Linked DNA regions of Xenopus tropicalis. The protein of the gene in region 2 interacts with the protein of the main gene of each other region in a pairwise test. Links are inferred from orthologs where the notes say so. Each region holds a gene or a part of one and is shown on either strand. Other genes may lie near its edges.

Region 1 (6,982 bases), on a different chromosome or scaffold from region 2:
ACAGAGGCTCCTGTACACTGCCAGTTCACATACTTGGTAGCAAGGGGCTACCAAATAGCTAATTATGGCTCTTATTTGGCACCTCCAGAGCTTTTTCATGCTTGTGTTGCTCCCAAATAAAGAGTATGTACTCATGTATCTGTGACACTGATACTGTGCTTGTTACAAGCTGGCATTGAATATGAAGGCACAGCATTTCCTAGGTGAGTGTGCCTAGAAAAATACAGCTCAAAGTATGCCCTTGCGCCACTCAAACATGTTGATTCAAAATAATATTTAAAAAGCTTGTTAAATACATCACTGTGTGCCTCACATTAAGCACAGCTAAAATTAGATGCTGTCTTCCTTCTTAGCTTGGCACATGTGCAGAAGCCTTTGCTTCTGGACAGTTTGACTCTTGTGGTGTCTAATAGCATGCAAGTACACTGGTGATCATTTTATGCCCACCTACTACTAGTGTATATATTGGTATTCTGCAAAAGACTGGGTACAGGTATAGGACACATTATCCAGAATGCTCGGGACCAAGGGTAATCCGGATAAGGAGTCTTTCTGTAATTTGAGTCTCCATACCTTAAGTCTACTAAAAAAAACAATAAAACATTAATTAAACCCAATAGGACTGATTTGCATCAAATAAGGATTAATTATATCTTAGCTGGGATCAAATACAATGTTCTGTTTTATTATTACAGAGAAAAAGGAAATACATTTTAAAAATCTGAACTATTTGATTAAAATGGAGTCTATGGGAGACAGGCTTTCCGTAATTCGGAGCTTTCTGGATAACAGGTTTCCGGATCACGGATTCCATACCTGTATTATATTATTTACAGATGAGCTACCTAAATTAAGTTTACACTTGTCAGAAAATTTAAAGCTGCATTTATACATCATGCAAAATAAAAAGTCTCTCACATGGTAGAGATAAAAATCACACTATTTGTCAGAGAAGCACCAAAGCCATAATTTTTGTATTCAAACTTCTGATTGATTTGGTTAAAATATCGAGCCCTAATTTGATAAATTACATGCATTTTGAGCAAAAACATGTCATGTCATGTTCAGTTGTCCAAAGCTTTAAAGGAGAAGAAAAGGTAAAAACTAAGTAAGCTTTATCAGAAAGGTCTATGTAAATACAGCCATAAGCATGCACAGAAAAGCTGCACTGAGTAAACATGTTCTTAGGGTATCTGACTTCCTCTCTCAGAAAAATCCTTCATTCCCTGGGCTGGAGTCTGTGCAGTGCTCTCCTCTCCTGCTCCCCCTCCCATAAGAATTCATAAAACTCACTCCCCCCACCCTTAGTAATATGTGATCGGAGGGCTAGAGCTAAAGCTGCAAGCAGAAAGCTTGGAAGACCAAGCTAAAACGAAGGCTGCAATCTTAAACAAACAGAGAAAGTTTCTAGGGCTCTTTACTCATATATGGTAACATTTTTTGCAGAATAAATATAGCATTCTAGGTGGCACTAATGTGGCGAATCTATTGGCAGTAAAATGCCAAATGACTTTCCTTCTCCCTTAAAGGAAAAGTAACACTAACATTTTTTAAGTAAAAAAGCTATTCTACCCTGCACCAATAACTGCCCTATCCTGCAAACCACTTAGTATTTTGAATGCTTTAATAGAAAATACCTGCTAAAACTTGGCTTCCTGTCAATTGAAATATGGCGATATGGCGAAGGAAGGAGCAGCATCCACTATGTGACGATCGATTGATCGAGCCTAGCCTTCCTTCTGTATTGGAAGGAGTCAGGCTAGGCTCGATCAATCGATCGTCGCATAGTGGATGCTGCTCCTTCCTTTAGCAGTTATTTTCTATTAAAGCATTCAAAATACTAAGTGGTTAGCTAAGTGAATAGCTTTTTTACTATTTTAGTGTTTCTTTTCCTTTAAAGGCATCATCACTTTAAAGATTTAAATTCCACAGATCTCTTCATGTTAAGGCATGTGCCATAAACCCAGTGATCCCAATAAACGAAGAAAAAGTGAGACAAAATACATATAAAAAAGGCCAGTTCTTGAAGCAGCTAAATATATCTATCCATTTTTTATATCTGAGCCAGCAAATATTTGTTACAAATAATTTAATTTTATTGTAAGGGATGCTGAAAAAGCTTAAAAAAAATTAATAATTAAATAAGTGCTAAATACCATGATTTTGTAAGAACAAATAACACTTCCTTTTCAAGCAGATACAGATATGTGCTCTAAAGATATGCGGATACCTTCTTGGGATAAGTTAAATCTTTTGCTTTTAATTTTTTTCTTCCCTTTTTCAAGCTTCTAAAAAATTCCTTTCAGGTATTCTCACAAAGCATTAAGTCGGTCTACATTAAACTGTGTGACCCAAGGCTTGAGCTTATAAAACATTAAATGCAATCAATGAGGAAAGGATCAAATTTGTGATTGTGCTGTTCAGGAAAAAAAAAATTAAAATTCCCTGCAGTATTTTTTTAACCAGATGTACAGGAACTACATACAATTATGGCAAATATGGCAAAAAGACAAAAAGATCAAAAGACACAGGGAATTAAAAGAAAGGTAAGCTGATGCTAGAAACATGGAATGGGCACAAAATTAAGAATAAATGCTAGTTAAAGTGCAGCAGCAAAAACAATGTAAGAGAATGGTTGACCAAAAAGGGAAAGAAAAAGTTTCAAGTACCAGCATGTGTTCAAAAAAAGCACATGGAGGGAGAGGTGGGTGGTAGCATCTGCAGTAATGGTACCAATAGCAAGCTGAAAGTGCAGGAATAACTTTCCAAAAATCAATAGCTAAGAGTCCTGGGAAGAGCTAGCTCAAACTTAAATCTTGTATCAACCACCCTTTTCCTCTACACTGATCCATGTTTTGCTTCTTAGGGTAATTAGACAATGCAGGGTGCTTATTTCCAGGCAGCATAACAAGAACTCCTTGGTGGCAGAAGGATGACAATGCATTGTGCTGGAGGTTGAAGAAGAGCACACAACCATAATTTAGAAATTGCTTCCACCCTCTAGTCTGTTAATCCTCATGGACCACCTCTTCATCTGTCAGAATCTGCCCATTGACAGATGGAGTGTCAGAAGGTGCCTGGGATAAGTCCTCAAAGTCTTGGCTCATAGCAGGTGAAATAATAGAGGGGCTTGTGTCACAGGACTCTGTGCTTTGCTCTGATGTGGCAATAGTTGTGGCAGCACTTCTTGGGGTTGGGTCAAAATCATCATCATCTTCTAGGATGGGAGATTCATGAACATCTGTGAAATTTTAACAAAACTATGAATTAACTTCCAAACACACACAAACATGCATTCAGTAGCAAATGTAAAGTGACCCCCAACCACCATCACTTTTCTGCCTTGCCTGGGCACATTACCCAGTGCCAGATCTCCCCAGTTCTGGACAATTAGGAGCATGGGCACTCTAAAGCTTTATACTGTAAAGCTTATTTAAGAGCTTATTTACTGTAGCAAGGCACAGTGCTAGGTTCAAAACCGAGAGCTTGGACCTATACACTCACCTAAAGGATTATTAGGAACACCATTCTAATACCCTTCTCTGACCTCTAGCATCAACAAGGCATTTTCGCCCACAGGACTGCCGCATACTGGATGTTTTTCCCTTTTCACACCATTCTTTGTAAACCCTAGAAATGGTTGTGCGTGAAAATCCCAGTAAATGAGCAGATAGTGAAATACTCAGACCGGCCCGTCTGGCACCAACAACCATGCCACGCTCAAAATTGCTTAAAGGAGAAGGAAAGGCTAAGTCACTTGGGGGTGCCAAAATGTTAGGCACCCCCAAGTGACTTAGAGCGCCTACCTTGTACCCCGGGCTGGTGCCCCTGTACGGAGGGAACAGCACCAGCCCGGGGTAGCTGCCGGCGCTTCCTCCTTCCTCCTCGCTTGCGCGCGCATGCGCAGTATAGTGAAAAGCCGAACTTAAACATTAAAGTGGGCTTTTCACTCTACTGCGCATGCGCCGGCCGGCGGATTTCGCCGGCAGCGCGCAAAGGAAGGAGGAAGCGGTGTCTACAGGTGCCCCGGGCTGGTGCTGTTCCCTCCGTACAGGGGCACCAGCCCGGCGTACAAGGTAGGCGTTCTAAGTCACTTGGGGGTACCTAACATTTTGGCACCCCCAAGTGACTTAGCCTTTCCTTCTCCTTTAAATCACCTTTCTTTCCCATTCTGACATTCAGTTTGGAGTTCAGGAGATTGTCTTGACCAGGACCACACTAAATGCAGTGAAGCAACTGCCATGTGATTGGTTGATTAGATAATTGTATTAATGAGAAATTGAACAGGAGTTCCTAATAAACCTTTAGGTGAGTGTATATGCACCTGTGCTTCTGTACTTTCACCATGTATCAGTAAAACCAGCTGTGCCTGCTTTGCAGAATAAGAAGAAATATACAGTATGTTCTGGCACAAGGGAGCCCTGTTCTTTACACATTCTTTAGACACCCTTTGAATATTGCATCTATAGGAGCTCCCACTTGTGCCAGCCAAATAACATGCCAATCACAAGCTTTGCAATGCCCACATTCACTGCCACAACTTTTTGCCTATTTATAAAATGAATGCAACTTTTGCAATGGTAGTAACACATTAGGTGCAAGTTGCAGTGCACACAGGTTATTTATTGGACCTCACTAACAGGCCACATGGCATACCCTCACAGAATTCTAAATGATCCACCTGTAAGAAACCCAGTACTTGATGGCGAGGCATAAGGATATGTTCACATGCCAGTTACCTTTATTTTATTTAAAACATAGATCAAACAAGTTGTTTTCTTTTTGCTTTACCATTTTTAATATCTAAGTACTTAGCTTGATAATATTATAAGTCAAATACTGTAGGTCATATAGGACCAAATTATAAGGAACTTACTGTTGAAAGACTCTGGATATTGCTTTGCTAGTTTCCCTTTTAACATCCTGCATGGATAAGAACAAAAATACACTGATGACTTCAGATCATTTCTAGATAGCAATAATATATATTTCAGATACAACTTTGTGTTTTAATTGTAGATGATGTAAAGATGATGTGCTCTCTATAATAGGATTTCTAGGGAATACCAAATGTAGGGTTCCCAGGTGATCACATTATGACAGCCCCAGCACCTTCCAACAGCAGTATGTTTTTCACTTAAAGGGGAATTATCACAAAAATGTAATAGTGGTTTAACCTCATGGAAATAAGGAACTAAATTAATATAATCAGTTAAAAATTTTGTATAATTATCAAGCTACTCTCATTTCAGTAAACTGTCTCACATCATGCAAAAGACAGTCAGATTTTGTATGATGGTTAGAATGAATACATTGGTGTGTGCTCTATTTGCCAATGTATTAGAGCTCACCGTCTTTCAAAATAACCTACTCTGACACAAAGCTGAATGTAGAGACAAACTGCAGAGTGAGGGATAGTGTAGAGAAACTGATTATTTGAGAAATGATACAGAATTTGTAATTAATTTTATATTTAGAAATTTGTTTTATTTCCATGAGATAAGGCTTATAGTAGATTTTAATTTTCAATAGTTCCCTAGCATATAAAGGAGCACTGCATTTTTCCTTTTTCCCTCCTACTATATGTATAAATTAGTTAATTATCACTTGCATGAAATAATAATTAATAGCTTTCACTTACATAAATACAGTACGTGCAATCAGAGCAGATTTTTGTCATTGGAGCAGAATAAAATGTAAATCTTGTACCTGATTCTTCTAAAGATGATGTCCAAGTCTTTCTTCATTTCCACCAGTGTCCTGGTGTGATGTGCAAACCTATCACTCATCTGTTGCAATCGTGTGTTTGAGAGACCATTGAAATTGAGCAACATTTCATTGGTTTTCTCAAAACGATCAAGCCTGGAAAGAGGATCACAAAATAAATAAGTTATGCAGTTCTAGAAGCAATATACATCTTCTTTGAAGTGTGATGAAAATATATCTGTAATGATAGAGGCACTATTTGCCTTACCTAATAAATACTATGCAGAGAACTAAACTAAAACTGATCTAAACTAATTGCTCACTGGGTGCTTCTAGAAACTGGTGCAATTTAGCACCAATATTAGTAAATCAGACCAACTGATTCTAAGAATAGTCAAAAAAAGACAAAACACTATTGGGCAGATTAATCAAAATGTGAAATTAGAGCTTATCACCAAAAAATGCAACTACTTTCTATTCATTTCTATGGTAATTTTAGAAGTGTATTTATCAAAAGTTAATCTCTAACATTCACCTATTGATGAACATGCTGATAAAAATACAATGGGAATTAATCGAAAGTGGGTTTATCTGTGGTGAGCTCTAATCTCACATATTAATAAACAGATGTGTGACATGACTATCTAGAGGTACAAATAAATTAATATAGGGAATGAATGTTGGAAAACATGGAGTTGTTTAGAAAAACTATAAATTGCAAATCTTGCAATAAATTATCACAAAAATGTTTAAACCAAGACATTAAAACAACCACAGAAGGGCATAACATGTGTTGATTTAAAAATCCATCAATTCTTAACAAAGCACATTTTTTGTATAAGACCTGTGAGTGCAGATTTTAAGCACATTGTTTTATATATATATATATATATAGGTATGCAGTATGTTTTAAAGATATAGTATATGTGCTTACATGTGTCTCTGAGCTAGGATGATAGCATTAACGTCCTCTGAATTTACCATATTGAGTATTCTACTACAGAACACCCCAGATGCCGTTGCTTCAGTCACCTGTTCTGCCATCTACAAAAAAAAAAAAAAAAAAAGTTTTTCCAGAATGATAATTTGCAATACTTACATACACAAATGTGCATATTTATATACATAGTAATTACTCACGATAGTTGTTTTTTTATCAATTTCACATGCAATATTAAAATTGAAAATCTAATCTTACTTCTTACACTTTACTCAGCTTCTGTCAACCACCTTGCAATCATATTAAAGTTAAAATAAGCACAAAATAACTGCATAT
Region 2 (7,932 bases):
CTCCTCAAATGTAGATTACAGCTTCTGAACTGCAACTCCCAGCATTCCTCACTAACCGCTACATTTATCATTTTACTGGGGGCATTTTCTTCCCAAGAAGACTCACCAGTGGCAGGGGTGCCAGGACAAATGCCTTTTCTGATCCTTTATTTCCATATGAATTACTGTGTAATTTTATTCTGCTCTAATAGCAGCTGTATTCAGCCCCAGCTGGAAAGTGGAGTCAGCTTTCTGTAAATGCACCACTATATGACAATATAGATGGGAAATGTTGCATTCACCTATATAATCTGGGCTACTTTTTTAATTTACATAGTGAAGCTGCCAATAGATGGCCTGATAAATAGTGATGAGTGAATTTTTTCGGCAGACATGGATTCGCAGTGAATTTCCGCATTTCGCCATTAACGAATTGTTTTGCAAAACTTCCATGAAAAATCGGCGCTGAAAAATTCGGCGCACGGAATTTTTTTGTTGCTCGTCAAATTGGGCGTGGCCACGTGAATTCGGGCGTGGCTAAGTCAATTCAGGTGCGGTCACGTAAAAAAAAGGGCGCAGTCGCATCACATTGGGCGCGGTCACGTCAAAAAAAGTGCGGACGACAGAAAATAGACAAAAATGCGTTTCGCAAATTTTTCGCCGTTTCGCAAATTTTCTTGCCAGTTCGCAAATTTTATGGCGTAGCGAAACAGGGCACATTCGCTTATCACTACTGATAAAGATTGCTAGCTTACCCCCTCTAATGGATGTCAGCAGGTTATTGGCCCATGTATCAGGTGCTTATGACTGTCTGTCTGGCCAATAACTTTCTGACAGATATTTATCGGGCAGGTTTCAAATTTCTGTGGGGCAACAACCACCTTGTCCTGTCACTAGTCCTTTCAGCCTGTTGCACTATAAATTAAGGGGGAGGTATTGGCTGGGGTTTGTGCGGTGGAACAGGAGGGCCACAGTCTCCAGTGGCCCCAGGTGGCCGATTTAGACCCCAGATCTGCTTGTTTGGTAGGTTTCCCAATCAGTGGACCTCTGCTTAATTTGTCACAAGGCACATGTATGGCCAGCTTTACATGGGTAGAATATATGCCACTATAGTACCCTGAATCAGACAAACCTTAGCTTCCAGCACTGTACTAGAGCTCACTGCTGCTTGCATGCTATGGTTACTGCACCAGAAAAATATTATTACATATCCAGTAGGGTTGCCCATATATAACATATACTTTAAGAAATGGAAATTCTATTAGGAGGCCAAAGAGGAAAAAACAATATGGTTGCATGGAAAACAGATTTATTTAACAAAGACAATAGCAGCTCTGTAGTGTTATCTAAAAGGAATGGTTGCAGATGAGCGCACAGGGCGGATGTGTACTCCTTTAATTCAGATGTTTTAGCTCTATTCGCTGTTACTATTGATAAAGACTTTAGTCACTCGATCTATTAAGCAAAACTAACATTTATTATAACATTAAAAAGTTTCCTTCATATGTTACATTGCAGCCCTTGAGATGCTGTGAGATAGAACTCCCAGCACCCTACAAATGAGTGGGGTCCTGGGAGTTGCACATCACAAGGTCTCTACCGATGTGACAGTTTGTATTACACTGCAACAAAATCAATCTACAGCCCTCAGCCCAGCAATTATACAAGTGCTGGGACTTGCACAGTCAGTATTATTTAACAGGGAAAAAAAATTGCCTTTTGCACTGCACTGACACCCAGAGGACACCTGCAGTATTGCACCCAGATTTCTGCACACCATCCACACAAATATTATATAAACACCTTAAATACATTTCAGAAATGTGCACTTCCAATTCCACATGGGGAAGTTCATATTAAATCCATTATAGAAGTAAATACCCTATACTACTCTGCCTCAAATTGTTTTCCTTATCTCCTGGCTGAAATTCCAGCTGCTATCTGGTTGCTAAGGTTGGTTCTTCTCCTATTTCTTTTCCAGTCTTTTTCCTACCCCACTGCCCGGTTTCTGGGATCAGGGACCATAGCAACAACAGGGCAGTTTGAAGGCCAAATTGTGCATTATGGTAGACTTTTACTTGTCCTTTTCATTATTGAACTTCCCCTTTAATCTCTTTAATATGTTTAACTCCAGTATCACTTCCCTAACAAGACAGGCCCGGTGCAACAATTATACAACTAAAACATATTATGTTTTATCCAAGTTAATTTCAGGACACAAAGCGAGGTCGTGTTACAGTACTATATCTTCATTCTAACGAGAGAACACATCCCAGGTTTCACCAGTATCAGGCTTTTATATTGTATAAAATTGCTTGTGAATGTATGAATTGTTGATGTTTCGGAATGGATTGCTGGGTTGTGAGTAATGTGTGTCTATAGATATATGTGCAACCCCTCTTATTAGATATATAATCTATTGATAGGCAACCTGCAGCCTTTCATATATTCATACAACTGCATTGGCCTGCAATGGCTGCTGGGAGTGGTAGTCCAAAAATAAATGAACTATAGGTGGGCACCTGTGATTTAGATTGCTGCCAAATGCACTGATCTAGACAGGAGGTTCATCCATCTTGGATATAATAACCCCCTACTTAACCACTCTTTGAGGCCATGCACACGCAAACACTTTCATACAGAAATGTCATCATTGTTTTGGTTCAAAAACATAGTAATTTGGCTTATAATTTACTTAATGTGCATTTCATGTGCAAAAAGGGGGGAGGGGGCATGTAATAACCTGTGCAAAGTTTGCTCAAGGACTGGTAACCCATAGCAACCAATCAGCTGTTTGGTAATTGCAATGGCAATGGCTTGCTGATTGGTTGCAGGGGGTTAGTGGAACCGAAGCTAACCTGACACCTATTATTATATTTATTTATAGTGAATGGAATAAGAAATAATCAGTAAACTGGTATTTCTATGGAGATGAGAAATGGCTGTAGCTGTAGGAATGCTTAAGCAATAGCCCTCCCTAGGGGCACTGACCATGTTTTCTAATCCAATAAAAAAGTAAAAGAGCATAAATGGAAAAAGACTGTGAATTGTAATTGTGTTCCACCATCACAGCTCTGACGCAGGTTAAACATTCATTATTTACAATAATATGGACTGTTGCTTTGCCACATACGGGAGGGAACCTGGTGAGAAAAGACAAGACTTGGTCTGGACCAATAGGAAACATGGTGGGGTGTGCGCTAACGGGAATGTTTGTGTTGCACTATAAAGGGATGGCTCAGCCCAAGCCTAAAGGTGGCCAGCTCAGCACGGTGGAACCACATGGCCCTACGGGTTTTTATTTAGTGCCGAGCCCAAGCGTGTTGGAGGCTCAAAGCTAAGTATCACAATCAAGGCCACCAGTCAATCAGGCATGTTAGCTGACGGGCATGTCTTCTTATCTTGAGCTATCCATCCACTGAGGTTGGCAAGTCTACTCCCACCCACTCCCCTTACACCTTCCACAGACATCAAGATCCAGAGCTGGTAGGTTCCATGTGCTGTGCAGTCCTAGAGGTTGGGTATTCTGTGAAATGGTTGGTCATGGGAGGTGATGGTGTTGGGTTTGGTGGGTTGTGCCATCTGAGCCATCACTTTCCATACACACTCTCATCACTGTAGGCCACGTACAGGAAGTAGTCCTCCTCGTGGTTATCCTGCAAGGCAACAAACCAGACTGTCAGGTCATTCGTCCATTGAAAAAACAGATAAAACTTAAATGTAGTGTCAAAATGTCTAATATTGGTCGACTATGGGAATCTTATAAATTATCCAGTATGGGCAATGGTATAATGTCACATGGTCAATCATATGACATAGGCAATTACACAATGTCACATGGGGAATGATATTATGTCACATGTGCAATATTATGACATCATAGGGACAATGACATAACATCATATGGGAAATATGACATCTTAAGGGCAAAGACATCATATGTGTAATGATATGACATCACATGGGTAAAAATATGATATATTCCTCCATTGCAAAAACAGACAGAACTTAAAATACAGCGTCAAAATGTCTAATATTGACCACCTATGGAAATTTTAGAAATTATCCGGTATGGGCAATGGTATGACATCACATGGATAATTAAATGGCGTCACATGGGGAATGATACGAGGTCACATGGCCAATAATATGATATCCCCTGGACAATAATGTGATAGCACATGAGGAATGATATGACATCATATGGATAATGATATGACATCATAAGGGTAATAATGTGCTATCACATGGGCAATTATAAGGCATCACATGGACTTTATTATGATTTTGCAGAAGATGGAAAGTTTTCCTTTTGTATATGGCTATAAAATGGCACGGAACTGGTGGAAGAGATGTTTTCGAGACTGACTTTTACTCTTTGCTAAGGGCCCCACCTCATAAAGCTGTCCCATGGTTGCACTGGTGGGAGGAATGGTATTGTTGACGAAGAAGAAGAGGGCATCCTCTGGGCGAAGGTGAATTCTCTTCCTGATGAGGAAGTAAAATTGCCCAACTGCAAAGACGAAAGGTACAGAAAAAATAAAAATATCACAAAAGTGCAGATTAGAAACAAATACTAATGTGAGATAAATTGGGCTGGATTTTCAGGGGCCGTACCTGTTAGATCCGAGGGAACCAGGTATTTCCTCTTGTCCAGGTCTGGGACTCTGGCCTTAGGCGCCTTTTCTACAATAACCTAAAATGACAGATAATAACAATGGTAAGATGCAGATGTGTGGCCCGGCCAATGCAAGAAGGCTGGGGGACCCTGATGGTTGGTGGTTAAAAACCCGAATCACGGATGTTTAAGCAGTGACCCTCCAGTTACTGCTGAACTACAACTCACAGCCGTCTGGGCAGTCTTTGGCTAACATACAAGCTACCGCAGTCACAGTTGGAGGGCTATCAGTCATGCATCTCTTGCAGTACATAAAATGTATTACAATAAAGCTTGAACAACTCCTGATATATATATATATATATATTTCAGCACTATATGTTTTTCTATCATTTATATATATATATATATATCTTCCAACTGAGCCGCACTCCAAACTTGTAAAACATAGCTTTTATTCAAGCACTTTCTTAAAAAAAAACGAATACACTAATCGTTCAAGGTAGTATAACAACTATACTTATCAGTCCATTATGCCACATCCGCGCGACGTTTCGGGGGCATCTCACCCCCTTTCTCAAGCGCACCTCGTGGCTAAGCACAGTCAGTAATCCACATAACTTGTTACTTCCTTGTATAACCGAAAACCGGAAGTGACGTAGCGGGTCACCGTGGAAACGGATCACACTGTCAGCGTAATCAGTATACACAGAAGCCGGCACATCAATTCAGTATATGTTAGTAAGGAGCTATTAGTATATTATATAAAGGCACCTATACAAACATAATGTTTAGTGATGGGCGAAAAGTTTCGCCAGGCATGGATTCGCGGCGAATTTCTGCGTTTCGCCATTGGCGGATTGTTTCGCGAAACGGATGAAAAATTTCGCCGCGGAAAAATTCGCCGCACGTCCAAAAATTGTCGCCGGCGTCAAAAAAGAATAGTCGCGGGCGACAAAATAATAGCCGCGGGCGACGAAACAATAGCGCGCGACGAAACAAGAGCCGCGCGACGAAACAAGAGCTGCGCGCGACGAAACAATAGCCGTGCGACAAAATAATAGCTGCGGGCGACGAAACAAGAGCCGCGCGACGAAACAAGAGCCGCGGGCGACGAAACAAGAGCCGCGCGACGAAACAAGAGCCGCGGGCGACGAAACAAGAGCCGCGGGCGACGAAACAAGAGCCGCGCGACGAAACAAGAGCCGCGCGACGAAACAAGAGCCGCGCGCGACGAAACAATAGCCGCGCGACAAAATAATAGCCGCGGGCGACAATTTTTTTTGTCGCACGACATTTTCGCCGTTTCGTGAATTTTTCGCCGTTTCGCGGATCTTTTCAAAGATTCGCGAATTTTTCGGCGAAGCGAAACGGAACAGATTCGCTCATCACTAATAATGTTGAAACAGTACTTGGCACATTATAGTCATGTCAAAAACGGGACCTAAAGTCACAACAGTCCTAGTTATTCAGCATAAACATTAATTATATAAATGAAAACAAAAATAGAGCATTTTTAAGGCAAAAATAAAGAATAACTGTACAGAAATAGGTTATTCTACAAAAATAGATGTAAATCAAAATCCCTATTTAACCCATATGGAGCTAAAGAATTTAAACGATGAATCCATTCTACCTCAGTTTTCTTGAGGATTTTAACACGGTCTCCACCCCTTCCAGGGGCAGGGACATGTTGTATTACCCGATATCTAAGATCATCAGCTGTATGTCCCAGTTCTAAACAATGTCTAGATACTGGGAGAATTCTATTACCAGTATTCACTGTCGATCTATGTTGTGAAAACCTGTCCTTAACTTTCTGAATAGTCTCTCCAATATAAATTAAATTACATGGACAGACAAGCATATATACCACAAAATTGGTGTCACATGTATGATGTCCCCGTATTTTATATGATCTCCCTGTATGGGGGTCAGTAAATCGTGGCCCCACCAAAACAAAACGGCATTGGGTGCAACCTTTACATTTGTACATACCTTCTCTAGGTGGACCTAAGAAAGTAAATTTTCTCGGTACAGGGGAAACCTCCGCCCTTATTAATTTACCACCTATTGTATGGCCCCTACGATATGACATCATAGGAGCCTGTTGGAATGTTTCAGTTGTAGGATATGATTCCCTTAACAAATGCCAGTGTTTCTGAAGGATAGATTGAATCCGACCACTTTGCGCATGATATTGAGAAACAAACGTCATACGTTGTGTAGTTTTGCCTTTATTAGGTTGACTAATCCCTTTATTTCTGTTCACTTTAGAAAAACCTTCCTGAAGGACATGTTTAGGATAACCCCTGCTTGTTAGTTTTTTATCCATTTTGTTCAGATCCTCTTTAACAATAACTGGGTCATTAGCTATTCTGCAGACCCGTGAAAATTGGCTAATGGGAATAGATTTTTTAACCGATACAGGATGAAAACTATCAAACCTCAACAACTGATTCCGATCAGTGGGTTTTGTATAAATTCGTGTGAGGAATTTTTGTTCACTTCTACTAACCTCAACATCCAAAAAGACTATTTTGTGGCTATCTGCTGTCATTGTAAATTTAATGTCCGGATGGGCCCTATTTATCTGATCACGGAAGACGGACAGGGACTCCAGGTCACCCCGCCATAGGAGGAACACGTCATCGATATACCTCCACCACGCAAAACAATGTGTAGTGAAAAGTACATTACGATAGACGTGTTCCTCCTCAAACCAACTCATAAATGAGTTGGCATAGGCTGGGGCGACCTTGGAGCCCATGGCCGTCCCCCGTATCTGCAGATAAAACCGTCCCGAAATTTAAAGACATTTTTATACAAAATAAAGGTAAGAATATCCACAAAAAAATTAATCTCCATTTCAGTGTATTGTCCACTTTTTATCAGAAGTGTCTTTACCGCCATAATCCCTTCAATATGAGGTATAGATGTATATAGACTGGTAACATCAAAAGTTACCAGCCATACTTCATCAGCCAATTCATTTATATTAGATAGTTTTTGTAAAAAATCATGAGTATCTCTTATATATGAGCGTGTCTTCTGAACTAAAGGACTAAGTATCTTATCCAGGACCTCAGCTATATTGCTGGTAAGTGAGCCCACCCCAGCCACTATAGGTCTACCTGGTGGATTAATGGGGTCCTTATGTATTTTAGGAAGTACATAAATTACAGGTATAATGGGAAAGTCTATCCACATATATTGTGACGTTGACATAGTAATAACATTAGATAGTACTGCATGCTTTAATAAGTGATCCAGCTCCGTTTAAAGGATTCCGTTGGATCACCTTTCAATGGGATATAAACTCCAAGGTCCCCCAA
Region 3 (7,932 bases), on a different chromosome or scaffold from region 2:
ATAAAAAATAACAAAAGTGGTACAGGTATCGGACCCCTTATCCGGAAACCCGTTATCCAGAAAGCTCCGAATTACGGAATGCCCGTCTCCCATAGACTCCGTTTTAATCAAATAATTCAAAATTTTAAAACTGATTTCCTTTTTATGTAGAAATAAAACAGAACCTTTTAATTGATCCCAACTAAGATATAATTAATCCTTATTGGAGGCAAAACAATCCTATTGGGTTTAATTAATGTTTTATTGATTTTTTAGTAGACTTAAGGTACTGAGATCCAAATTACAGAAAGACCCCTTATCCGGAATACCCTTGGTCCCGAGCATTCTGGATAATGGGTCCCATACCTGTATAAAGGTGATACCTTTATCGGCAAACTAAGATAATCATATAAAGCTTTCAGAACATTAAGGGCCGTGGCAGACGGGGAGATTAGTCGCCCACGACAAATCTCCCTTGTTGCGGGCGACTAATATCCCCGATATGCCATCCCACCGGCTTGAATGTAAATCGCCGGTGGGATGGCATATGCGGCGCCGCGATTTCCCGAGACTGCCTTAAGAACTGCCTGCACCAAGCCAGAAATACAAACTTCTATAGAGACACTGTACCAGTTAATCACATGGAATTCCTTTTGCTTCACACTTCAGTAATTTACCCTAATTTATATCAACCCACTTCAATCCGCATTATTCTGTACCTTATCTGTTTGTCCCTTGCAGGCCTCCTTTTATATCACTTTGTTAACACCTTCCACACACATAGATATTCCTTTTTTCTGGTTATTTGATCTATGAGCTGAATGTTGTATATATATCAGAGAGACCCAGGGCTTCATTGTAATCAGCTTGAAAAGGGAACTAGAATGTTCTGAAAGCTTGCTATGATTATCTTAGTTAGCCAATAAAGGTATGACCTTTATACAACTTTTGTTATTTTTTATTATTAATAGTAGCCTTCCAAATGGAAAGGGACCTCATGTCTCCAAAGTACTCTCATTTCCTCATGGTTTTGAGTAGGGATGTAGCGAACATCGCCAAAAATGTTCGCGAACCCGTTCGCGGACTTTCGCCAAAACTCGCGAATATTCGCGAACTTTGCGAACCCCATAGACTTCAATGGGAAGGCGAACTTTAAAACCTAGAAAAGCCATTTCTGGCCAGAAAACTGATTTTAAAGTTGTTTAAAGGGTGCCACGACCTGGACAGTGGCATGCAGGAGGGGGATCAAGGGCAACAATTTCTCTGAAAAATACTTTGGATAAAAAACGCCCAAAAAAAACCGCAAAAAAAAACCGCAAAAAAATAACGCCAAAAAAAAACCGCAAGCTATTCCTATGTATACGCAAAGGCGAAAAACCAAAGCGAAAAAACACGGCGGAAAAAAACGAGGCAAAAAAAGCGGCGCAAAAAAAACGCGGCGAACCCAAAATGGCGAACATCGCCAAAAGTTCGCAAATTTGCGAACACTCGATGTTCGCGCGAATTAGTTCACCGGCGAACAGTTCGCTACATCTCTAGTTTTGAGGGCATCCTCTAGCTAAATGTGTACCTTTGTAATGTGGAAATACCAGTGCTTCACTGACTAGGTGGATCTACTGGCCAATTAAGCACTATTGAGCATCATCTAATTATTTTTTAAAGTGTTGAATAAGAGTGCTGAGTTGTCCCAACTGCATTTTGGGATAGATACTCACAGACAGGGCCTCTGACCTCATATCTCAGTTTATAAAGCATTATTGTGCTTGATTTGTTTCTGCCTTACTGTTTGTCTTCAATTCATTATAAAGTGCTCTGAATAAACTATAATGATTATCAATTGTGAAGTTTTAAAGCAGGGATACTTAACCTGCTGATCAGGACACAAATTGGGCCCCCATGCTGTTGGGAGTGTTTTCTTTAATACAGCAATATTTCTCTATACAATAAAATTAAAACAAAGTACATAATGGATTCTAAATTAATTTGTTTAAATCCTGAACTTCATCTGGGTGCCCAAAGAGAAAACATTAAGATGTCTTTATGGCAGTGGCAGTTCCACCCTGATCTGATGCCCAAATGCTACACGTTGCAAGCAAAATCACTGTAATTTGCAGTTTATTATCTGTGTACTTACCATCACTAATTTTAGTCCCTCCAAGTACAATAGCAGATATTCCAACAGAGGATGATAACATCCATATACATATATTGATGCATTTTGCTTTAAGAGGTGTACGGAAATCCAGGGCCTTTACAGGATGGCAAACAGCAATATATCTATCAACGCTCATCATGGTTAAAGTGAATATGCTGGTAAACATATTATAGTAGTCGATAGAAACCACAATTTTACAGAGGACATCTCCAAATGGCCAAGAATTCATTAAAAATGAAGTGCTTTGAAAGGGCATTGTAGTGGTAACTAGGGCATCGGCTAGCGCCAGGTTAAATATATAAATGTTGGTGGCAGTCTTCATTTTTGTATATCTGTTGGAATACAAAAAAATATAATAATAAGAAGAAAGTATGTTGCTCCATTTAAATGAAAAACCTTTACAATAATTCTTTTCTGGTAGAAAAGGCCTTTATATTGCTAGAATAACACATTCGAATATAAACATAGAATCTAAGTAAACACCCCAAACGATGCTTTTATTAAATTATAATATTACATTAGAATTCTATCTAATCTATCTAATCAGCCAAAAGGTTTTACCTTAAAAAAAGTATGTTAGTATGTTATAGAATGGTCAATTCAAAGCAACTTTTCAATTAGTCTTCATTATTTATTTTTTTTTAACGTTTTAAAATTATTTTTTTACTAATTATTCTTCTAACTCCTTGTAGCTTTCAAATGGGGGTCACTGGCCCCAGCAGCCAGAAAGCCATTGCTCTGTGAGGCCTCTCCTATTCATATTCCAGTTGCTGAACAAACACTGAAATCATTCAAAATCTACAAATAATAAAAAATGAAGATCAATTGCAAACTGTCTCAGAATATTACTCTCTACATCATACTAAAAGTTAACTCAAAAGGTGAACAACTCCTTTAGTGTGTGGACAACAGCATTTCCTTGTGCGGATACCAAGTGGAATTCATTCATTTAAACACACTAGCGGTTTACAATTACTTTGGTTAAAGAAACAAAAAAGAAGACCACATTTGCCAATTTCATCTGAATGTGTATACCCAAATTCAGTAGTTCTGTGACTATAAGGAGATCAGCACTTTAGGACTGGGTTTTATCTGCATAGATAAAGTACTGGAACCCAAAAACTTAGTTTCCATAGATATATGGCAGAGTGAGAAAAGCAGAGTTGCAGACTAAGCACTGGAGCACTCCAACAGAGTAGGGGAGAAAGGTAAGGGGGCGGGGATCTGCCAGATGGAGGGTGGCACATAAATGTTGGGGATTAGAAATAAAAGGGGAGAGTAGAGAAGGGAAATATATTTATGAAACCTATGATAATGCTCTGTTACAGTGGGAGACATTGTGAATTCATTTTATGTACTCAAACTCTGACCTTCATACAATTAAGCAAGGGCATCTTTGGAGTAAGTGCAATGACACAGTATGCCATGATAGGGGATTCCATGAATAAGACTGGCAGATAGTATTAGAAGCAATAGTACAAATGGAAGAAGAGACAGAAACTTAACCATGGACATTGCATTGTGGCCATGTGAAATAATTATTAATCAAATGTAGATATGATTAGCAGTGCCACTGCCAGAAGCACAAGATTAATTGAATCCCTTCTCTTAACTAATTACAGTGCTCTTATGTTTGCCAGTATAACAGGAACTAGGAAATAATTCATTTATGGGGATGAGTAAACCCCAAACATACAAATCATTTGCACAGAGCATAAAGAAAAGCTCAGTGTGCCACTGACCGCACAGTCCATGGTGGTGTAGCAGTGTTATGTACTGTAAGGAAGTTGGGTTGAGAAATGAACAATTGTCAACCACATGGTTGCATCATATTTATATACACTGTATCAGTTTCAGTTAATTGGATATTTTAGTTCTTGCTGCAATCTAGTCAAGTACTTCCAACAAGTTTAAAATGATGCCTAATAGTGAAAAAAGAATACTAAATTTGTCTTAATAATAATGGGTCACTAGGAAGCACACAGTATGTGAGATCTAGTTTTATGTTCTTGCTACAATGTATAGAAAAACATCTGGGAATTGCATCTGTTGCTCGCAGTCATCTTTAGTCCTTTCATTACTGGCCATGCTTCGTAGTGATGTGCAACTATGACCTGTTGGTAGACCATGTACCTGGAACAGTTTGTTGCAAAAGGATTACATGATATAGTTCACTAAGACAGGGTAAAATATTAGGGAGAACAGTACAATATTGTGGATTTCTTCTCTCATTTTGTCTAAAATGTATTCTTCAATCTTCCATTGGAAATAATCAGATTTTGTTCTGGCCTGAGCTGGCAAACAAATTTCAACAATAATTTTGGTCAAAGTACTTTATAATTATGACAAGTCAAAATTGCATAGAATTTTTGTTTAAACTAAATTTATATTGTAGTTTAATAAATAGGTGAACATTAAAAGAAAAAAATTTAAATCTGCAGTCTCCAAAAAATTCTATTATTCTGTTACTTAATATGCTCCTATTGTGTCTGTTACCCTCCCACTTAGATTGTAAGCTCTGCAGCACTTCCTCTTGTTTCTTTGACACTTAGGATCTTTTATGTATCTGTACTGTGTATTTATTTGTATTAATTACTGTAATGACGCGTTTGTCCTATTAATTTATTGTTCTGCTATACATTACTGCGTACATAAGTAGCACTACTGAAATAAAAATATACACACAATCTATACAGTACATACATAATTTAAGCCCTGCATGCTAGAAGATGATTTGCGTCAGATAGATTTGACTTTTATATAACCTCAACAGCTTTTAGATATTTTTTTTCATTTTTACTTTCAGATTTGTTGCAGTTTTGATGCATAATAAATCAAGTTTTTTTCTGTCGAAAAAAGGATTTTGTGCAAAAAAATATAAATTGTGAAAAAATACCCCCCACAAAGCTGTGGTATTTTTTTTAAAAAACAAAAATAAAAATAAAGAACAACCAATTTGATGGTTTCTACTACTTCTTAGAAAATAAATCATTTGGTGCTGTTAACATTTTCTAAAATGATTAAACTCATCATTATTAATTTTTTCATTACTGCTTTATTTTTCCTTGCAAGATGAAGACACCATTTCCAAGCCAATTACTGATAAAAGCAAAAATGATTAATATTTCTAGCAGGTACTGCTCTTTAGTCCAAGGTAGGCTCATCTGACATGTAAAAGAGTAATTTATTGTAACTGACAGGGAAAGAGATACATGAACAGAGTAACAATGTCACTAACACAATGTGAGATACAGGCAAAAACAGAAAAATAGTAGCGTGAACAGCATTTTTATCATCTGACATGATTAGCTAATCATTTGTTCATTTGGCACTACATAGATGGCAATAACGGAAATTTCCAGGGAGGTCTTTGCTACTGTATCAGTATGTCTACATTAATAGAGCAAACCACATTCATTCTATTTCTGCAGTGTCAGATGGAACAGCATTCAGAATTTCTTTATCAGGAGAGTTATACAAGTAATGTGGATCTTTGTTTATTCAAGACTTATAGAATGAGAGAAGAGTATGGATATTGGTTTCTGGATGTAAGATTGTTAAACTATTTTTCATTTTTAAAAGCCTACAATATATACACTAAAATCTTTTGGACCTTTGGCAACTATGGAAATATATCCAACTTATATTAGGTGACAGTGTCAAACAGTGGCTGCTAAAATGAATAAATTATTATCTTGAATAAAAAAGAGATTGACTCAAGGGATGAAAACATAATTTTGCCCAGTCCTTAAGAAGGATATTAATGAGCTGGAGAGAGTGCAGAGACTGCAACTAAACTGGTAAAGGGGATGGAAGATTTAAACTATGAGGTTAGACTGTCGCTGGCGAGGGGACATGATTACTCTGTACAAGTACAATAGAGGGGATTGTAGACAGATAGCGGCGAATCTTTTTCACATAGAACAGGAGCCCCCCCCCCCATTAGACCTGAGGAACTGAACTTTTACCTTGAAGAAGTGAAAATGGTTCTTCACTTTGAGGGCAATGATGTTACGATGATAGATTCTGTTAATGCTTTGTAAAGTGACTATTTTGACATACGATTTTTTAGCTTCAGTGATCTCGCTATTATTGAATAATTATGGGATATATTGATCATCTCATCTGCATTTGTAACTTCAAGCCATATGAATAAAGCTTATTTGGCATGAAAGAAATATTGTATAATGGGAAAAATGGTATAATGTGTGACTAAAATGAATGGAAGCATATAAAAAAAAAGTTTATTATAAATTAGAAACAAATGCCAATTGTTTCCTGTGTAATAACATTTCTACATGGCTGACTGATGACATGGTTGCACTCAGCTATGCAGTCTTATCCCAGCTATTAGTACTGGGTTAAATGACCCAAAGTCAGCACTAATTCTGAGAAAAAACAGATGCTCCAGGGAGCAAGACTAATGTTGTTTCGCAGCGCACCAGAGCACTGTAATTGCAGTGAAAATGCCTTTTGGGGATAGTACATACATGACAATCAGTCACTGCAAAATTCAAACTCTATAGTCCCTTTCATTTTGGCAGTTACCTGTACAATACTAATGCTAAGGCTTCTGGAAGATACTAAAGGGGAATCTTAGATACCAAAACATCAAATGATGGAATATATGAAGGATTATTGACATTGCAAACACCATCATTCAAAAATAGCATGGGTGGTTCCAGGGCAATCAAGGAATGACTGCCATTTGGCTAATAAAAGAGATTCAAAAAGGTATCAGTGATTATGCTTACACATGATAAGTGTTTTAAATATGCTCAGTTTTGCAAAGAAAAATAGGTTTTTATTCAATTTTGGCACATTAGAAAAGGTGCAAGGTGCTTATTCCCTAACTGCAACCAGAGACAATTTTAGATAAAAACCTTTAAAGGGACAGTATACACACAAACATCTTTGCTATAAACACAATACATAAACTGCATTCTGCCTATTGTTTTAATTGAAAGAAAACTATTTTATCCTATTTTATGACATTATAAAGCACTAATGTGAAAGTTGGGCTATTTTCACTGAACTCTTCCCCTCACTTTCTCTATAAACAGGGCTGTTTGTTCAGAGCACCCTATAAAACAAACCCCTCCCTTCTCTAAGCTCCAGCCTTAAAACAGTTCATTATCAAGGGCTTTTTGGTAGACTGGTAATTAGTTTTATCAGCTCCTGATAGGAAGTACTAAAGTGAAACTGTCTTCATATTCTTGTTAAGTGCGAGAAATAACACAAACAATGGATATTTCTTAATAAAACAATAGACAAAAAATTGTTCAGCACATGCCCTATTCATTGAACTCATGTTGAAAAGGTGTGTATACTGCCCCTTTAATCAGAAAAATCTATTGACTACAAATAATAAAACATGCTAACAATTATTAAAAAAAAGCTTATTTTTTAATAAAACTTACCTGATTATTACAAACATCACTAGGGCATTTCCCACTAAGCCAACCACAAAAACCATGGAGTAGACTGCAGTTATTATTACTGAAATTGTTGGTGAGATACTGGTGTGATTGCCTTCATTTAGTGGTAGATCAGGATACGCACTGACATTATCATGATCATCCCAGCCTAGCAGCCAGCTTGTGTTGGGAAAGCAACTGGAAGGACATGCAGGAGCACAGCTGGAAGAGCATGTCGAGCCCACTGGAGCTCGTTCTGGGATAATTGCTTCTTCCTCACGAAAAATTTGTACTGGAGATTCCATCACCATTTATGAGAATAAGATCTAGAAAATACTACACAAAAAAGAAACACAAGGATGGGAAATTAAAAGAATAGAA
Region 4 (7,932 bases), on a different chromosome or scaffold from region 2:
ATGAAAACAAATCTTTTAACATGTAGTAAGTAGAACAAAAAGACCTAAAAGTTAAAGAAATAGTCTAGAGATGCTAGATCTTATGTTTTCAGCTTTATGCCCAAGGATCACATGTTCTGGCTTGCAGTCAGTTACATGATCTTAGGAACAATATACAGTATATGCACAGTACAAGGCTCAGATTTACATGGCAGTATAGAAACCAGTGCATGTGAATTATGTGGATGTCTGGATGCCCCTGAACCTCCTTTTCTGCTAATTTTTTGATAATGTCAAACAACCAGAGCACACGGAGCATGTGCAATGCCACAGGCACAAATCAAACAGCCAAACAAAAAATGGAAAATTTTAAATTTAATATTATAGGGCTACGGTAAATAATTGAATATACACATTTATATGTTAGTTGTCTGGGGATATAAGTAATAATTCTTCCTGGTGTCACCAAAAGCAATAAGAAATCACGTCTTCTCGCTCTAAATGTCTATGCAGTCTAATCTGATGTCCTGTTCTCTCATAATAGGTCTCCACAAATCTATGTGACATATTATATATAGTATGTATATATTACTATTATATATAGCATGTAGTAGTATAAAAGAGATAAAGCAAAACGGAGCTGAACATAAAAAGCATAAATGTTTCAGCTGTCTGGCATCAACCTCAGTCAGACCCCAGAAGCATCTGCTAGGGGTGGCATAGAACTACAACTCTCACTTTCTCATAACTAAGGTAGGTAAGGTGTGGCTAGTTCTAGAAGAACTGGTATGGCCAAGAAAGCAATAAGGCAGTAAGGTATAACTATCTCACCTTTCATTCTCCAGTTCACTGGCTCTTGCTGCTGAAAAAACACAAACAGAAATAGTGAGAACTAATTAACTAATTTGAATATTGTATCTTTTAAAGCACCAGGTATATTATATATTCTGTACTGTCTCTTTACAGGGGCAGAATTGGTAGGTAGGTGGTGCAATGGAACAAAGAAAAGTCTTACCAGTGAAAGTCCTTAATGGGGTTTTGCTAGAAGGGTCTGCATTAAGTATTGCTCATGATCTAACCTATGTTTACATGCCATGGGCTTAACTAAACGTGTCCCCTTAAAAGACAATTCACCTTGTAAGAAGACTAAAGGTGGCCATACACGCACCGATATTATCGTACGAAACCTCGTTTCGTACGATAATCGGTGCGTGTATGGCATGTCGGCGAGTCGACCGATATCGCAGGAAGCTGCCGATATCGGACGACTCGCCGATCGGACAAGTTTGAAAATTTTGATCGGGCGCCATAGAAGGCGCCTGACCAAAATTCTCCCTTCAGAGCTGAATCGGCAAAAGGAGGTAGAAATCCTATTGTTTCTACCTCCTTACCTGCCGATTCAGCCCTGAATGGTGTGTGGCGGATCTTACGATGTTTCGTGCGACCGATGGTCGTACGAAACATCGTCGGATCGCCACGTGTATGGCCACCTTAACACTTTCCAAATTCTTTAGGAATGGTCACCCCTTTGTTAATTGGTATGTATAGACAAGTCTGAAATCTTGTCTATATCAAGGTTTAACCATGATAACCACCCCATGGATGTTGGAGAACTATTGTACTGTGGCAAACTTCAGGAAACCTTGGTTCCAGTGAAAGGACATTATAAAAACTGTATGTATTTAGTTTTTCTTTGTTGCCCAGGGGCTGATTTGCTATAAGCAGACCTGTTTGTTAAGCTAAATGGCATAATCATATGGCTTTCGATTTAGTCCTGACCAATATGTGTGCTCCGATAGCGTTTCATGTTCATAACAGATAACTCTGATAAAGTATGTAATCATGCTGAAAGCATCAGAAAGAAAGTTTCTAAGCAGCACCAACAAGAGACCTGTGTTTATTTGCATGATACTTATGCAGGAAATATGGGGACTTATCCATATCTTAGCCTTTATAGCCCAGGGCTGGCTTTGCTGTGAGAAGATAAGCTCACTGGAAGACTGCAATTAGAACTACGGCTTTGCAGAATACTGCTTTCAGTTTTGCCCTGGCCAGTAAAGAGTATGTGAGAGCTCATATAGGAAAGAAGAGTTGCATATATACACGTGGAATCTTGTATAGATAGAAGTATATCAAGTTTTCAGTGACAGCAAGGGAAGATAATATCAAGAATTCTCCTTACCTCCCAGTTCAGGCCACAGTTTGTTCTTCCACTGATCTGCACAAATGATTATCATTAGTCCAAATGCTACCAAAAATATGATTCTGAGAGAGGTCAGGGCAAAAAACCTGCAAGTAAATAAAAAAAAGATAGTTGAATAACCAAATTATTTTGCACTTTTTACATTTTCACCACAATGAAAAATGCATCAGCTGGGGGCACTGTTCCGGCAGCACCCACATTATTCCTGTTGTCCCAGAGATCTGAACTGTCCCGATAACACACATGCACAGGAAAATAATAATTTCAACTTTAAAGTTGCAGTCCGGATTTTTACTCTGTGGGACATATGCAATGCTCAGGACACCCAAGCGAATCGGAAGGGCCATTGATGGCATTGCAAGGCAGGAATAGTACCCCTTGTAAGATTAGAGATTATTATTTAGTGGGGGTTGCAAAAACTCTAGCACCCCCGGTGAATATCACTTTGCTTTAGGCCCAGCTCTTTAGCAATATTTCTGGCAAGGTTATGGCAGTGCATAACTGGCACATGCATTAAGTTCAAAAAGGAAAGAAAATGAATTGAATCCCCCAAATTACAACAGAAGTTGTTCTTCCAATGCGACCTTAGATCTGTCAGACCCACCATATATGTCTGAAATACAAGGTTGATGACTCCTTATGTATATGATAGTTAACCCTTTGCACAAGATCAAATGCCCTCTGCAAAGTCTTCTACTGGTGCCCCCTTACTTTTGCAAAATACTTCAGCGTCAACTGCCGCTTTATCCCAACTATGAAGTTATATATTTTGCTTTTTACCAATCACGTTTCCTCCATGAAACAGAATGTTTACTGTTTCCTACTGCCACCTCATCTCCTTGAAACAGTATCCACATCACCTCTGTCTCTGCCACCTCATCACTTACAGTGTCAGCACTACATATACATACACTACATATACATACACTACATATACAGCCCCAGTCTCTCTCTGTGGGGCATTTACTTGATTTCTTTCACCTCCCCTCCATTTCAGTTGATCCAAAGCATTTCTGCCAGACTCTAACCTGGCAATCACAGCAGTCACACTAGTAGCCATGTATCTTCTCACTTATTAAAAAAGAACTCATGGGTTTTCTTTAAAATATTTAACATTTCTGGCAAGTACAGCTGCTTATTTTTCACAGATTCTCAGCCCTCGCTTAAAAAAAACCCTTTTCATACCTTAAGATAAAACCTCTTTTATTTTATTCTAAGCAGATGCCCTCTGTGAAAAAGGTACCAGACTGAATAGTTCTCTTATATGTGTATCTCTAACAGGGATTCATCACAAACATCTTTAAAACCGTAAAGGGCACCCATCGCCCTAAAACTGTTTCCCCACCAAAAAATAGCCGCTTACAGTGTTAGGCTGCCCGCACTGGGAGGGAGCTCCAGGTTTGGGGTAGCCATATTGTGGCACTTGCATGCCCATATCAAGGAAGTGCCACAACTCACTCATAATGCACATGCGTGTGATCCAGGTGGGCGAGTCGCATCCACTGCTTTGTGCATAAGGAGTGAGCAGGGTGTCTCACTTATCATGCACATGTGCACTAAATAACATGGCCTCTCGCACCGGGAGCTCCTGGCCTAGCACCAGCAGGGACTGATTTTTAAAAAAAAAAACAAAAAAACTATTGTCCCCCCCAACCCAAGTGCGGGTTCTATTAGCCTGCACCTCTGATGGGAAAAGCAAATCTAGGGTGATAGGTGCCCTTTAATTCCACTTCTCTGCACTCTTTGTATCTCAATAAATGGCCTCTTTGTTTAAGCGAAAACCATAATGCATTAACTACATGGAATTTAGAAACCCTGCTAAAGGTTTAAATATGTAAAACACTTATCCTATGAATCTTGTGTCTTCTGGAAAGATCTAATGGTGAAACAGAGATTTTATGAATTGCTCCCAATATATAGTTTTACATAGACATTAGATCCCTATTAAACACCTCCAATGTAAACGACTTCAATCTGTTCAGTCCTTCTTCACAAACAAGGCCCCGCTTAGGGCTCTGGTACACGTGGAGATTAGTCGCCCGCGGCAAAACTCCCTGCTCCCGGGCGACTAATCTCCCTGAGTTGCCTTCCCCCTGCCATCCCACCGGCGAACATGTAAGTCGCCGGCGGGATGGCAGACGCGGCGGGGCGATTTCGGGAAATCGCCGAAAAAGCCTTGCGAGTCTTTTTCGGCGATTTGCGCGAAATCGCGCCGCCGCGTCTGCCATCCCGCCGGCGACTTACATGTTCGCCGGTGGGATGGCAGGGGGAAGGCAACTCGGGGAGATTAGTCGCCCGCGAGCAGGGAGTTTTGCCGCGGGCGACTAATCTCCCCGTGTACCAGAGCCCTTACTCTTCAGCAGTAGTTTAAGTTGTTTTTCTTTGGACTTTGATCACTGGAAACCAAAACTGTACTGCATATTCTAGAGGTTTCCCAGTACTTTGTAAAAGGGAAGTATTATCCTCAGCAAAAAATTTTTTTTCGATATTTCCCTGTTTATCACTGATGAATAGATTAAAGTGGATTAATTACCAAATTCATGGATTATAGAATGATCTACTGGCATTAAATGTATATCCAGTGCTGCCCTAGGCACATCTCTCCAACCACCTCCTCCTCTACCTGACTAGCACATACACTTTACATCCTATGCATGTATTCCAGCTGCAGAGATACAGGGATAACCCCTCCCATTCTTTGCTGGATTTAGCTGCAAGTGTCCAGTGGCAGACAAGGGGGTCACATTTTTATTTTTCTATATAGGCACCAAGGAGGTACTTCTCCTTCAAATTTTCATTTTTGTAGGATGTAGGCATGACAATTTGCATTTGGTCTTCATTGTTTAGTTGTATTTTTTATGTTTTTGTAGTTTTTTTGTTTAACAGCTTTCCAGTATGGAATTTCACCAGTGATCTGGTTGCATTAAATCTACAGTGCCCGTATATAAAGACCAAAGTGTCTACTACATAGACTTTTCCCGTCTGATCCATGCATGCCTTGCCATGTTAAAAAAAAAGACTGCTGGCAGAGAAGGGTTAAAATGTAGAGCTCTGTGTATATAAGTACAGCTATATAAATATATTGATGGAGAGCAGCAGGAGTCAAAACACCCTTGTCTACCCGTCACTGTTTCTAATACTATGGAATAACACACATGGAGCAGTAAAGCCATATAATAATCCTGCCTGGCAAAGACCACTGATGTCTGTTGGGTCTCCATATTCTTGTTGTAAGATCTGATCACTATCCCTTGATTTGTCCCAGTGCGTGGGAAGAGATCCACTTGTTTTGCAAGACAGATCTTATCAACTATGGCTAGCTTAATGGGCAGATCTTGGTGCCAAAATGCTTAAATGAGTGTTTTTGTGCTGTTATCTGCATGTCACCCCTCCATTTGTATCCAAAAGGGAGACAGACCACTCTTTTTTGACCCAAAAAATCATGTTTCTTTCAGAAGAGAATATGCTTTCCACCACTCAAAAGTAGCTCAATATTCTCTGGAAATATTATAATACATTTGTTTTTTTATCTTTTCTTTCCAGGTCAGTGAGAGTTAGGGTGAAGACACATGGAGCTACTAGTAGCAACTACTTGTTGTGGCTACTAAAATAGACAATGCTGATCATATACTGATAATTGTCTCTATGTGTGTTTTAGCAGAGGCAACTCTCAGTATTGTCAGGGTATTTTCTGGCGTTTAGTAGCCGTGAAAAAGTAGCTGCTACTATTAGCTCTGTGTGTCTTCACCCTTAAGGGCTCTGGTACACGGGGAGATTACTAATCTCCCCGAGTTGCCTTCCTCCTGCCATCCCACCGGCGAACATGTAAGTCGCCGGCGGGATGGCAGACGCGGCGGGGGGGCGATTTCGGGAAATCGCCGAAAAAGACTCGCAAAATCGCGCCGCCGCGTCTGAACCCTTTTTAAGCACAACTTTATTCACCTAGTACACCAGAAATTATGATTTGTAACAATGACCATTTTTCTTATTTAAGATTTTGGCTAACATTTAATTTTGCACCCACTCGTTTCCCAGGACAGAAGCACCTCAGTAAGTGAAAATTGCCAGCTACCACTAATAGAAAGAAAAGAGCTACACTGAGAATGGACAAGAGAGTCAAGCAGCTGTCAAAATATTCTGCCCACCCAACCCCCAATGTGGCTTGATTCTTTCTAAAACTAGCAGGGAATGTACCACATGATTTTTTTTTCCCCAACATCAGTGCCCAACCTCACTAATGCTCTTGTGGCTGAATGGAAGGAAATCCAACCAACAATGTACTAACACCTTAGCGAAAAGTCTTCCTTGAGGAGCAGAGGGTAAAGGCTGTTGTCCCAGTGAAGGGAGGAACAACCACTTGGAATAAGATGCAGGTGCGAGATGCTTTTGGCTTTAGCGTATGAACAAGTAATACAAATGGTAACAATTTATGAAGTAGGCAACCTGGCTTACTGCTACTGGGAAACAACAGAAGAAAATAAACTTTAAATGGAAGGAAAGGAAAACTGCATATAAATAAATGAAAAACAAAGCAATTGTAAAGTCCTAATTTCTGGAAACAACTTAGAAGTTGAACCTTCCATTCTACTACAAATCTCATTTGCACATGGGGTACCCAGACTGCCAGTAGTTCTTTTTCATAGATCAATCAAGCATAGATGCAAAATACCCTTGCACTTGTGGCACGCTAAGCATTTTGCTCCCTGCTGCCTTTGGGTGCCAAACAGCGTTGCTCAAATACCCATCTGCCTTTTCATTATGAACATTACAAGAGGTGAATGGCAGTAAGAGATATTTTGACTGAAAGTCTTCTCAGCTGGAGGGCAGCAATGGTGGTCAGCACGTTCACGTGTCACAGGCCATTTGTCCAGGGTTTGATCGAGTGAGAGCACCGAGAGCAATGTTGCCGACTGTTACCCCTCCCCAAGGGAAGCCATATTGACAAATACAGTTACACATACTCACAACTGAGAACTCATGGGCCCTTGCAGATTTACACAGTTCTCAGATATCAAACACCTTGGGAAACGTGTAATAATATGGTTTTCAGTCCAGTGCCCAACAGCTCACCCTGCACTAACACATTTCTATCACTGCCACATGGACAGGATCCCTTATAAGAAATAAAAACCTTGCAGCAGTTGACAGGAAATCCGAGAGAATTATAAACACATGTGAAGGTCAGAGCCCCCTGCCCAAGATCCCTGCTAATGTTCAACTACAACTCCCAGCAAGTAATGGCTGACAAAGCAACATTCTGTGGCTGAGAGGTGACAGGGAGCCCGGGCTTGGCTAAACACGAACTGTAGATTCCTAGAATGCAAGTAAACACACACAGATTTGCGGCCGGATGAAGGGTATGGCGGATACAGGACACCTGCATTCTATGCTATAGTCACATGACAGAGCCAAGAACGTTGCGGCTGTTCCTTATAGAGGGGTTCCCACACTAGCCCCGCCCCCAGGCGCTACATTAGGGGCCACATCTCACCAGAAAGCGGCATTGAGTGCCAGATGGAGCAGCGCGCTGTGCCGGGGTCTCTCCCACACCAGTACGGCCTGCACGTAGCTCAGCACCGGCTCGTAGCTGCTCAGGCCCCGCTGTAACATCTCCTGCACCTCCCGGACCTGCTCGTCTCTCTCCCTGGCCTCCACACACCGCGCTCCGCTTCTCCTTCTCCTCAGCCCGGAGGCTCCCTGTTCCTCCTCCCCCACTCTTTGCGCCATCTTCTGCCTCTCCCGGCTCTCAC

What was found.
Region 1: the proteins of gabarapl1 (region 2) and kxd1 interact in binary tests that used the Homo sapiens proteins (3 or more experiments, as listed by UniProt). The two-hybrid records come from large-scale screens. The link is inferred for Xenopus tropicalis from reciprocal best matches to the Homo sapiens genes GABARAPL1 and KXD1.
Region 3: the proteins of gabarapl1 (region 2) and oprk1 interact in binary tests that used the Homo sapiens proteins (3 or more experiments, as listed by UniProt). The link is inferred for Xenopus tropicalis from reciprocal best matches to the Homo sapiens genes GABARAPL1 and OPRK1.
Region 4: the proteins of gabarapl1 (region 2) and retreg3 interact in binary tests that used the Homo sapiens proteins (3 or more experiments, as listed by UniProt). The link is inferred for Xenopus tropicalis from reciprocal best matches to the Homo sapiens genes GABARAPL1 and RETREG3.

Annotation. Positions count from the first base shown.
Region 1 is NC_030677.2:106,543,336-106,550,317, reverse strand, and holds the end of kxd1 (kxDL motif-containing protein 1), read right to left. Parts: intron 6,751-6,982; coding exon 6,641-6,750; intron 5,863-6,640; coding exon 5,710-5,862; intron 4,924-5,709; coding exon 4,877-4,923; intron 3,242-4,876; coding exon 3,009-3,241; 3' UTR 2,050-3,008; downstream 1-2,049.
Region 2 is NC_030683.2:18,808,451-18,816,382, forward strand, and holds the end of gabarapl1 (gamma-aminobutyric acid receptor-associated protein-like 1), read right to left. Parts: intron 4,676-7,932; coding exon 4,597-4,675; intron 4,493-4,596; coding exon 4,374-4,492; intron 3,636-4,373; coding exon 3,570-3,635; 3' UTR 1,272-3,569; downstream 1-1,271. UniProt on the Homo sapiens protein: Ubiquitin-like modifier that increases cell-surface expression of kappa-type opioid receptor through facilitating anterograde intracellular trafficking of the receptor. Involved in formation of autophagosomal vacuoles.
Region 3 is NC_030682.2:114,703,087-114,711,018, forward strand, and holds part of oprk1 (kappa-type opioid receptor), read right to left. Parts: intron 7,888-7,932; 5' UTR 7,863-7,887; coding exon 7,555-7,862; intron 2,467-7,554; coding exon 2,114-2,466; intron 1-2,113. UniProt on the Homo sapiens protein: G-protein coupled opioid receptor that functions as a receptor for endogenous alpha-neoendorphins and dynorphins, but has low affinity for beta-endorphins.
Region 4 is NC_030686.2:29,101,513-29,109,444, reverse strand, and holds part of retreg3 (reticulophagy regulator 3), read right to left. Parts: 5' UTR 7,910-7,932; coding exon 7,674-7,909; intron 7,453-7,673; exon of another isoform or gene 7,162-7,452; coding exon of another isoform or gene 7,148-7,161; intron 2,269-7,147; coding exon 2,162-2,268; intron 842-2,161; coding exon 811-841; intron 1-810. UniProt on the Homo sapiens protein: Endoplasmic reticulum (ER)-anchored autophagy regulator which exists in an inactive state under basal conditions but is activated following cellular stress.